Linked DNA regions of Arabidopsis thaliana. The protein of the gene in region 1 interacts with the protein of each later gene in a pairwise test. Each region holds a gene or a part of one and is shown in the gene's direction. Other genes may lie near its edges.

Region 1 (4,061 bases):
AAGTAGACAACGACAACCTAATCTAAATCGCAGATTCAAAGGAGAAAGAGAGGCAAAACCATCAAACCTTCTCCGACCGAATCCAACTTGCCTTCTACTTCTAGAGATTCAAAATCCAAAATGGTTGGGCAAGAGGGTGAGCAAAATACAAAACAAAGGAAGAGCAAATGACTTGAAGAAGAAAGTAGAGTGAAAATTTAGATTTAGAGATGGACACGGGAAGAAATTGAGGGGTTGAAGGTGGATTGAGAGAGACGTAGCTTTAGATTTGGGTTTTTTCTGTCTTATTCGGTTTTATGAATAAATTATGATGATTAAATTTTCAGATCTGAGATAGATTGCTCTTAAGTAAAATATTTCTTCTAATTATTGGCGGAATAAGGGATTTTAGCTTCCCGCTTAATGATTTTCTATCTTAACGTTGTTTTAGTGCTATTATATAGTAATCAAATTAAAAAACTATCTTTCATAACAGTTACGAAAAATGATTATCCTCGTCTGCTATCAATGTGGATATTTCTGGTAGTTTATAATTAACTATACCAACAGATTAACTCTACCACACTATGACAGACTTATTTCCATTTTTCTGGCAATTAACTATGTTTTTCTGAGTAATTCTGCTGCCACTACAAATTACTCGACTTTATAAGTCAATTACATTTCTCTATCTTTTAACTTTGCCACCACGTTACAGTATATATTCTCTAATGCTATGTGAGTAAACGGAGAATCCTAATATGTCATGTAACTTGTTTATCAACTTAACTCTGCCACCACTATAAATAACTCAATCACACAACTCTACTGAATATATCTCTACCACGTAACTCAATTAATTTATTAACTTTACCATGTTTCATTAACCCTACCGTCACTACAGCGATAGACTTATGTTATGGTGTGCTTTTTCGCGGGCGAAATACAGTTTCTCTCACTGACATGACATCATCTTTTAAGGAAGATTTGCAAAAATATCATTTTTCTACTATCCTTTTGCTACAATACGCTTTTTTTGTTGACCATTTTTAAACATATATCTTTTCTTGAACAAAAAAAAAACAAATTACCCATCATCTAATGATCAACAATTCGTACAACACATGACAGTAATAAACAGACTTTTATGTGTTGTTTGAGTAACTCACCCAAAAAAATATCGTAGACCAAACAACTTATTTATTTTAATTTAAGTATAATGATTTGTTTTATTTTGAATTGATTTTATTAATTATTAGAGATGTGTTCTTTTTAGAGTCGTGTGACTCTCCCTTTGACTCTTTTAGAAAACAACTAAATATTATAATTATGAGTAATTAAAACGGGATGATTGTAAAATTCCCAAATTCTCAATTAAAAACAATATTTTTTTGGTTAATTTTTTTCTTTTCTAGAGTCTTCTCCGCAAATCTCGTTAATGGTTTTTAAACCGGTGACAGTAGCTGCTTAAAAATAATGTAAGGATGGTGTCGCTATTAATTCCGACAACTCTAGAATTTTGATATTCAAGCCGCATCAGCGACAATAATGTAAGAATTTCGATTTTGGGAATCTAGGGTTTTCGATTAAGAGACTTTTTAACGATATGCCTTAACTGACTTAATCAACACGAATTCGTGATCAAATCGAAAGTCAACATAAAATTGAGGATTGAAATCACTAAATCAAAACTTATGCTTTAAACCAATAAAAACTAATGATTTAGATGACATTTTTAATTTTTTCCTTTTTTTTAACCATTTTTCAAAATCTTTAAATTAAAAAACTTCTCTATCAATCTCCAGTTTTACCGAATTGAAAAAAATACAATCTATAAATTTCTTCTTAAACCAATTACCCATTTCAAGGGTCAGAGTTCCTAAACATGTTGGATCCATTTTGTTGCGAACATCTTTAAGATCCGATAAAAGACTTGTTTGAGAGATCTCAAGGAAGAAGAAGAAGGGGGGAAGCAGATAACATGTCTGCGATTGTTTGCGGGAAGAGATCTCTGTTCGAGGACTTAGCCGCCGCTTCTCCTCCCGTCTCCAAGAAACTCCGTTGCTTTTCTTCATCTTCTTCGTCTCGTTTTTCTCCTCCGATTCCTCCTTCTTCCTCACTTCTTCTCGATCACCTCGCCGCGATTTTCCCCGATATGGATAAGCAGGTCCTTCATTTTTCCGATCTCCATCTTTTTTTTCCTGTTTCGATTCTGGATCATTTTATTGATTGATTGTTCTTTGATTAGGTTTTTCGATTAGATTGAAATGAAATTATGCAATTGTGTTTATCAGTAATGAGCATATCGATAGATGTTTTTGGTGATTTATTGGACCTATTAGAGGAGCATATGTTTCTTCTGATTAGGCTTCTTTATGTCTATGGATGTCTGTGATGGTTTATTGGTGTTATAAAGTTGTTGACATTTGTGTGTGGTAGATTCTTGAGAGGGCAATCGAGGAATGTGGAGATGACCTTGATTCAGCCATTAGATGTTTGAATCAGCTTCGTTTAGAATCTGCCAATAAGAATTCTGATTCTGCTACAAACCAATCTCCTGTTGTAATCCAGGAACCAAATGTTGAACCTCAACAGCAAGGTAGTTTTGTGTCCTACTGATCTCTAAACAGTTTACTAGTTTCAGTGTATTCTGCATAAGTCGTAGACTCGCTCTACAAAGTTTTAATTATGAAACGGGTTTTGGTATTTGTAGGATCAGCCAAGGAGGAACCAAATGTCTTGAACTTGGATGGTACAGAGTGGGTTGAGCTTTTTGTTAGGGAAATGATGAATGCTTCTGACATGAAAGACGCCAAAGCCCGTGCTGCAAGAGCATTGGAAGCTTTGGAGAAGTCAATTAATGCACGTACTGGTACTGACGCAATGCAAAATCTCCAACAGGTGTCTCATCTATCTTTCTTTGTTTCTTTCTTCACTCTTTGTTGATAAGAAGTTTTGTTGCCAGAGATGTATATCTATCTATGAACATCCGATTTTTCAGGAAAACATGATGCTGAAGCAGCAATTAGAAGCTATTGTACAGGAAAACAGTTTACTGAAACGAGCGGTAGTGACACAGCAGAAGCGGCAAAGAGAATCGGAAGACCAAAGTCAGGAATTGCAGCATCTGAGGCAGCTAGTCACTCAATACCAGGAACAGTTGAGAACTTTAGAGGTCTGTATTAAATGTCTTCACCTTATCTTATACAATTTTGTTGTCTTTTTGTCGATATGATTAGATCTAACTTCTAAGTTTTGTTTTGATTGCTCCTTGCAGGTGAATAACTATGCTCTGACGCTTCATCTGAAACAAGCTCAGCAAAACAGTTCCATCCCGGGGCGGTACCATCCAGACGTCTTCTAATACTTTGTGAGGCCCTCGTATCATTTTGTTTCCAGTGTATTTTTCTCTGTTGGTTTGTGACTATTTATATATATTCGGGGAATCAAAACTGTGTTCTTTTGTTGTTGTTGTTGTTGTTATTGTTGTATATATTCTCTTTCGAGTTCAATGATGGATTCCACAGATATAAGACTTATTTCAATCAGTTAACAAACAGCGAATAGAGTTTGTTATGTTGCTAGTAGCCTGGTAATACTAGCGTCAATGAGAGATGTTGACGCCGGTCGTTCATCATCGGCTGACTGTTTTTGTCTCGGCCATAGCCACTTTGCTCTGTTGGAGTCTGGCGGTCACAAGAACTTACGAACAGACCCATAAAGACTTGAGTATTGTTAGAAAACAATCACAACAGTTCTTGAAACAAAACTTTGATATCGAACCGAATTGGTATTGAATTATTTTGGTTCATGGTCGGTTATTCTAGACTAGGTGTACCGATCGGCATATGATTTAGATGAGCTCGGTTTGAAAATTTAATCGAACATATTGGTCTGTTATTCTATCCACGGAGAGGGTGATTTAGAAATCCCCACAGTTCAAACCATGCCTGCAATATTTACCCAACTTGAAATCTTTGAAATCGAACCGAACCGGTGTTTAGTTACTTTGGTTCATGGTCGGTTTTTCTAGGTGAACCGATAGGCATATGTTTTAAATGTGCTCGGTTTGAAAATTTAAT
Region 2 (5,151 bases), on another chromosome or scaffold:
GTAACAACAATGGATCAGACGAAGTTGTGTGGATTCACTTGTTGACGTTGCTACCAAATAACTTGCCAAACTTATTTATCGAGTGTTATGGCATTAGTTACTTCATCTATGACAAGACCACCTTCATCATTTATTGTGCTGACGAGAACACTTATGCGGCTTGCATCTATATTGTCAGGGGAGATTTGCTCAAGAAGTTTGTAATTGACACCATGGTTTTCTGTTGTTATAGCTGTGTTTATGCTCCCAATTTTATCCCCCTTCCTTTAATGTAAAAGTTCTGAATATAATAATAAGATGCTTTATTTATTAAAGCTCTCAAATCAACATTTATTTTATTTCACTAGTAGTTTAAACCAATTGACAAAACCGGTTCAGTCAATGTTACAACTTACAATCCAAAACAACAAACCAAACCGGATAAACACCCAAAATGCCCAAAAAAATAACAGAACATGTGACTAAAGCTTTGACAAACGGATGAAATCTAGGCTCTACGACCACTACAATGATATAATATATGTACTGTGCACTGAAATAATACCCAGCAAAATAGTGATCAGTTCCAAAGTCTAAAAGAAATCAGTATGACTCATTACAGTTTTACCAATCCAACATTTGTCGCCATCATAATCAAAATCACACGATCGTAGTCGTAGAAGCCTTTGCGTTGATCGTTACTTAGAGTGATTACCATTATCGTCACATCGTCATGATATCTCCGTCTCCTACCAACCGGAATATTCGTCAACTCTTCCAATGCGAAGCCTAAATCAAAGTGCCAATTTTCGTCTCCTAACTTTCTTGAACCTTTCAAAAAGAAAAATGTCAATTTTATCTTTTCGTCTTCTAATTTTCTAGTCGGACTAGTTGTTGTTTTTCCAATTTAATGTCGGCTTTCAACTCAGGCGTAGCCGGTGTTTTGGTCGGATTAAAATATTCCAAACTTAGTTTTGTCTAAGTGCTGGATTTTTGTGTTTTCTCTTTCTACATGACTTAAAATTAAATCTTGTTTAGATTATGTATGATTTACTGTCGGCTTGGCTCTTCTAAAGGACTAATATCCTTGTAACTTACTACCGACTGGTATGAAGACTGGTATGAAGTGGACCTTTTAAGGTTTTGAGGTGGAGCTTTTTTTGAAGAATTTTTGAATTGAGATCTAAAGATTCGTTGGAGTCATGGCCAGAATTATAAGAACGTACAGCAAAATTTGGCAGGCCGGCGGCGGTAAACCTATAGAAGGAGCTAGCGATGATGGATCTAAAGTCCAGCGACAAAGCTGAACCATATCGTTAGATATGGCTGATAAAGATCGTGTCAATACTCATCCTTCTCACGTGTGGATACTTTTTCACAAGTGGCATTTTTAACTCTTATTTTTTTTAAAAAGTTGGATTTAGAGTAAGTGGGCTTAATTTCAATTTTAAGTTGTAAATGTAGGACTTTGTTTTATCTGTAATGCCAATTTGGTTTTCCATTTTAATAAAAAATAAATAGCCAAAAATAAGGAAAAAATCTTATTTAATTTTTTAAAATAAGTAGGAATCCAATTGAGTTAATAAATAAATATAAATTAGGAATCCAATTATAATTTGGAGTTAGCTGAGACCTGAGAATTACACGAAATTAAATAAATAAATAACTGCTTCCGTTATATATAAATACAGTCTCTAAAGGAACGTCCTAACAAAATCCACCGTGTACTAAAAAGAAAAAGAAAATAGAAGAGACAGTTGTTAGGGTTTTCTCATCAATCAATCAATCATCATCATCACCCAAATCCTTCCGCCGACGTCTCTTTCTTGTTTCCGTTTTCTCTCTCCGATCTCTGACTCATCCATCGTATTGACCAATTCCCTAATCAAAATCCTTCGAATCTCAATTTGCTTCGTTAAGAAATCTGTAGATCTAGCAGAAAAAATTCATATTTGATCTGAATCTGATAAAAAAACGATCACCGGTTGAATCAAAAAGAATCGAATTTTGTTTTCACTGGTTTGTTTCTTTGAGATTTATATGAATAATATGAAGAGATCGAAGAAACCCAGAGTTTCATGGCCACCAGGTCCTAAGCTTTGTCAGGTATAATTAATCCTTATATGTTCCATGTTTTCTTATCCACTTTCTAATCCCAAATTGATTGATCCATCTCACCAAATCTAAACTCTCGATTATAACAATTAACCTAATTTCTGGATCCTAAAATTTCGATTTTGAAGTTTTCCTTTAAACCCAACGAATTGATTGATACGATCTTGAATCGCTGAATTATTTAATTTCAATATCCAATCGAAAAATGGTGAAGAAACCAAGTCTTGTTTGTTGTTACTTTGACGGCTCTTTTGGTATGTAGAAGGCTTTGATTTTTCTATCTTTGAAGATAACGTTTTAGCTCATATAGTTTACATGAAATTGATTTGAATCAACAAAGATATATTCAAGGTTTTGGATTTGGAAATTTGAATCAACATACAGTTAGATTTAGATTGAAACAAGATATGATCAAGTTTTGAAGTTTGAATGCATCAATCCAATACTCTGCAACTACAAATTTACAATCTTTTTACAGATAGACTTGGGAAGCCTTATTGGTTTAGTTACATAGTTTTGATACACGAAAAAGTCAGCTTTGGTTAGCTTCTAACTATGCGGATTTTGAACAGGTTAAGGTTTTTCGAACAGAGGACAGTCCTGCCAATGTAGCCTCTCAGCCTCAACGTCATAGCTACCCATCTAGGAAACCTCGAGGGCCAGATCTTCCACCTGGTTTTGAAGGAAATCACTATGCAGTTAAGCCTAATGTTTCAAACATTCCTCGCATCAAATGGAAACGACCTCCTCCCAAGGTATATTTTTTATACTGTAAAGAATTGGTGAATCCCTTTTGAATCTTTTTTTATCATATCTGATATTAATATTATGTGTCTTGGACAATGCAGTTCTCTGTCAATGATACTTGGCTGGTTGGATGTGGTGGCGGGAGCTCAGAATGGCAAAATGAAAACTTGAGGATTTCAAAAGTGCTGGAAGCTATCTATCCTCATCGCTCTGCCATCCCTTCTCGGTATTTTACCTTCTTCTCTTAGGTTATTCAACATTGTGTTGGTGTGTTAGTTAGCCTGCTGATTGCATTCTGTTTTCATGTAGACCCTCTGTTTCACCGGCTGTGGAAGCTGAATGCTTTGATGACAGCAAAACTCCTGCCATTCGTCTCACTCCTATTGAAGACGAGAGTGAATCTTCTTCAGAGGAGTCATCCAACAGTAAGGTTGAATCAGGTGTTACCGCAAACAAGCAGGGTCAGTTGGAGACCAAACCTCTATGTTCAACCCAAGAACAGGTTTCTGGTCTTACTGGTCTTGCACCAGACTTGAGTCTGGCTGCTTCTGCAGCTCTGACTGCACTGATGAAAACCAAGGAACAAGGGAGTTTGGTCGATACTGAGCTACTTATCAAGTTCCTCAGCGACCCAAAATTAATCAAGAATCTTATCACTGACACATCAGGTAAATCCTCTGAAACTAAGAATCAGCCCATTGTCACTAACATCAACTCTGCTACTAGACCTGTTCCGCAGCCTGTCAGTGCTGTCACCGCCTCACCCATGGCTAGAAAGCCGCAGCCAGTGATAATACCTCAAGAACACAGTGTTGCAGTTTCTCGGTCTTTTACTAACCCTGAGAGGCGAGTATCACCTCCCAAGCCTGTAAATGGAAGCATATCCCCACCTAAGCCTATAACTGGAAAACCATCTAGTATACCAATGCCCGTTCATTTCCATGTCGGTATAGCTAAAGAACAACCTCAGCCTGCTCGGTTCCCATCGAGTTCTCTGCCAATGAACCTTAACTTCCACCGACCTCCAAATGTTTTCTCAGAACCAAAGGTAATAGTAAATCCTCAACCCCAACACCAACCCTATTCCGCATTCCGTACATCTGAAATGAACTATGTTCAATCATCAATTGGACTTGGAAGGGGTCCTCAAACCGGTTTCAATTCTTATCCAATGAACTTTAGCCGGGCAGATGCAATTGGTAGCGCTAAACCAGTAGTACAACCTATGAAGGGTCTAGACTATTTCAAAAACCTTATAAGGGAACATGGCACAGATAATCATGAAACTAACCAATACCATTCACAAACTGGAATATTCAACGGACGCATTGATAATAATAATAAGATTCATCAACAATGTATCTACTTTGGCACTGCGAATGGATGTAATATGGGAGACAGTTGCACCTATGTTCATGACCGGTATAGGCCCAACTTTGAGGCCGCGGCTCCGAGGGCTAAGAGAATGAAGTTTGGAAGGTATGAGAGAAATGGTTTTTGAACATAAAAAAAAAAATAGAGTTCACTTTTATAGTCTTGTCTATCACTGGTTAAGGAACAAAACCTGAGGTGATACAACTTTCAATTTTGATCAATTTGTGCGCACCAATTTTAATTCATTTAACAAAGTTATTTGTTTAGAGCACCAGTTTAATGACACCAGTTTAAGAGGTCGAGAAAGCCGGACAATATTAATTTAAATCATGATTTCAAAACTAATCTGCGTAATTAATTTGTAGTAAACTATGTCCGGTCTTTTAAAACAAACGATTAACGGAGTTGAGTTTTGTAATCGCTTAAAAAAACTGTTGTAATATATAGCTAGAGTCTGGAGATGTACTGCAAAGTATAGGTAATATGTAGTAAAAAAATACCATCAAGATGACCGCAAAAGATCTCATAAATTAAAGAATTCAAAATTCTACCTTTAAAGGGCAGATTCGAAACGAAGCTCATTAGCTTTCAACACAAAAAGAGGTTATAACTAAAGTAAAAGGCTACAATGGGGTGTTAACAGAAATAAGAAATTAAAATCAAGAAAGCAGAGAAGAGTGTGTCTCAAGTCTAGTAGTCTGCCTTGGCTGCTAATGTGGCAGCTGCACCTCTACGACGACCAGTTCTCCTTGCAGCAATTTGACCAACCTTAGCACCAGCAGATTTATCACGCCTGACCGTACTGGCGTGACCAATGTGCTGGTGGTTTCCTCCTCCGTGGGGATGTTCCACTGGGTTCATCGCAACACCACGTACAACAGGCCAACAGTTCCTCTTCGCTTTGTACTTGTGGTATGCATTTCCAGCCTTGAGAAG

What was found. Proteins that work in one complex are often made in the same cells at the same time.
Region 2: the proteins of AT5G32440 (region 1) and AT3G51180 interact in a two-hybrid assay, tested with the Arabidopsis thaliana proteins (one large-scale study listed by BioGRID).

The regions. Positions count from the first base shown.
Region 1 is NC_003076.8:12,075,054-12,079,114, forward strand, and holds AT5G32440 (Ubiquitin system component Cue protein), read left to right. Parts: upstream 1-1,839; 5' UTR 1,840-1,960; coding exon 1,961-2,146; intron 2,147-2,418; coding exon 2,419-2,581; intron 2,582-2,692; coding exon 2,693-2,880; intron 2,881-2,980; coding exon 2,981-3,154; intron 3,155-3,256; coding exon 3,257-3,343; 3' UTR 3,344-3,550; downstream 3,551-4,061.
Region 2 is NC_003074.8:19,011,701-19,016,851, forward strand, and holds AT3G51180 (Zinc finger C-x8-C-x5-C-x3-H type family protein), read left to right. Parts: upstream 1-1,688; 5' UTR 1,689-2,019; coding exon 2,020-2,085; intron 2,086-2,666; coding exon 2,667-2,849; intron 2,850-2,942; coding exon 2,943-3,067; intron 3,068-3,150; coding exon 3,151-4,342; 3' UTR 4,343-4,647; downstream 4,648-5,151. Other genes in the region: AT3G51190 (Ribosomal protein L2 family), read right to left, coding at 4,906-5,151.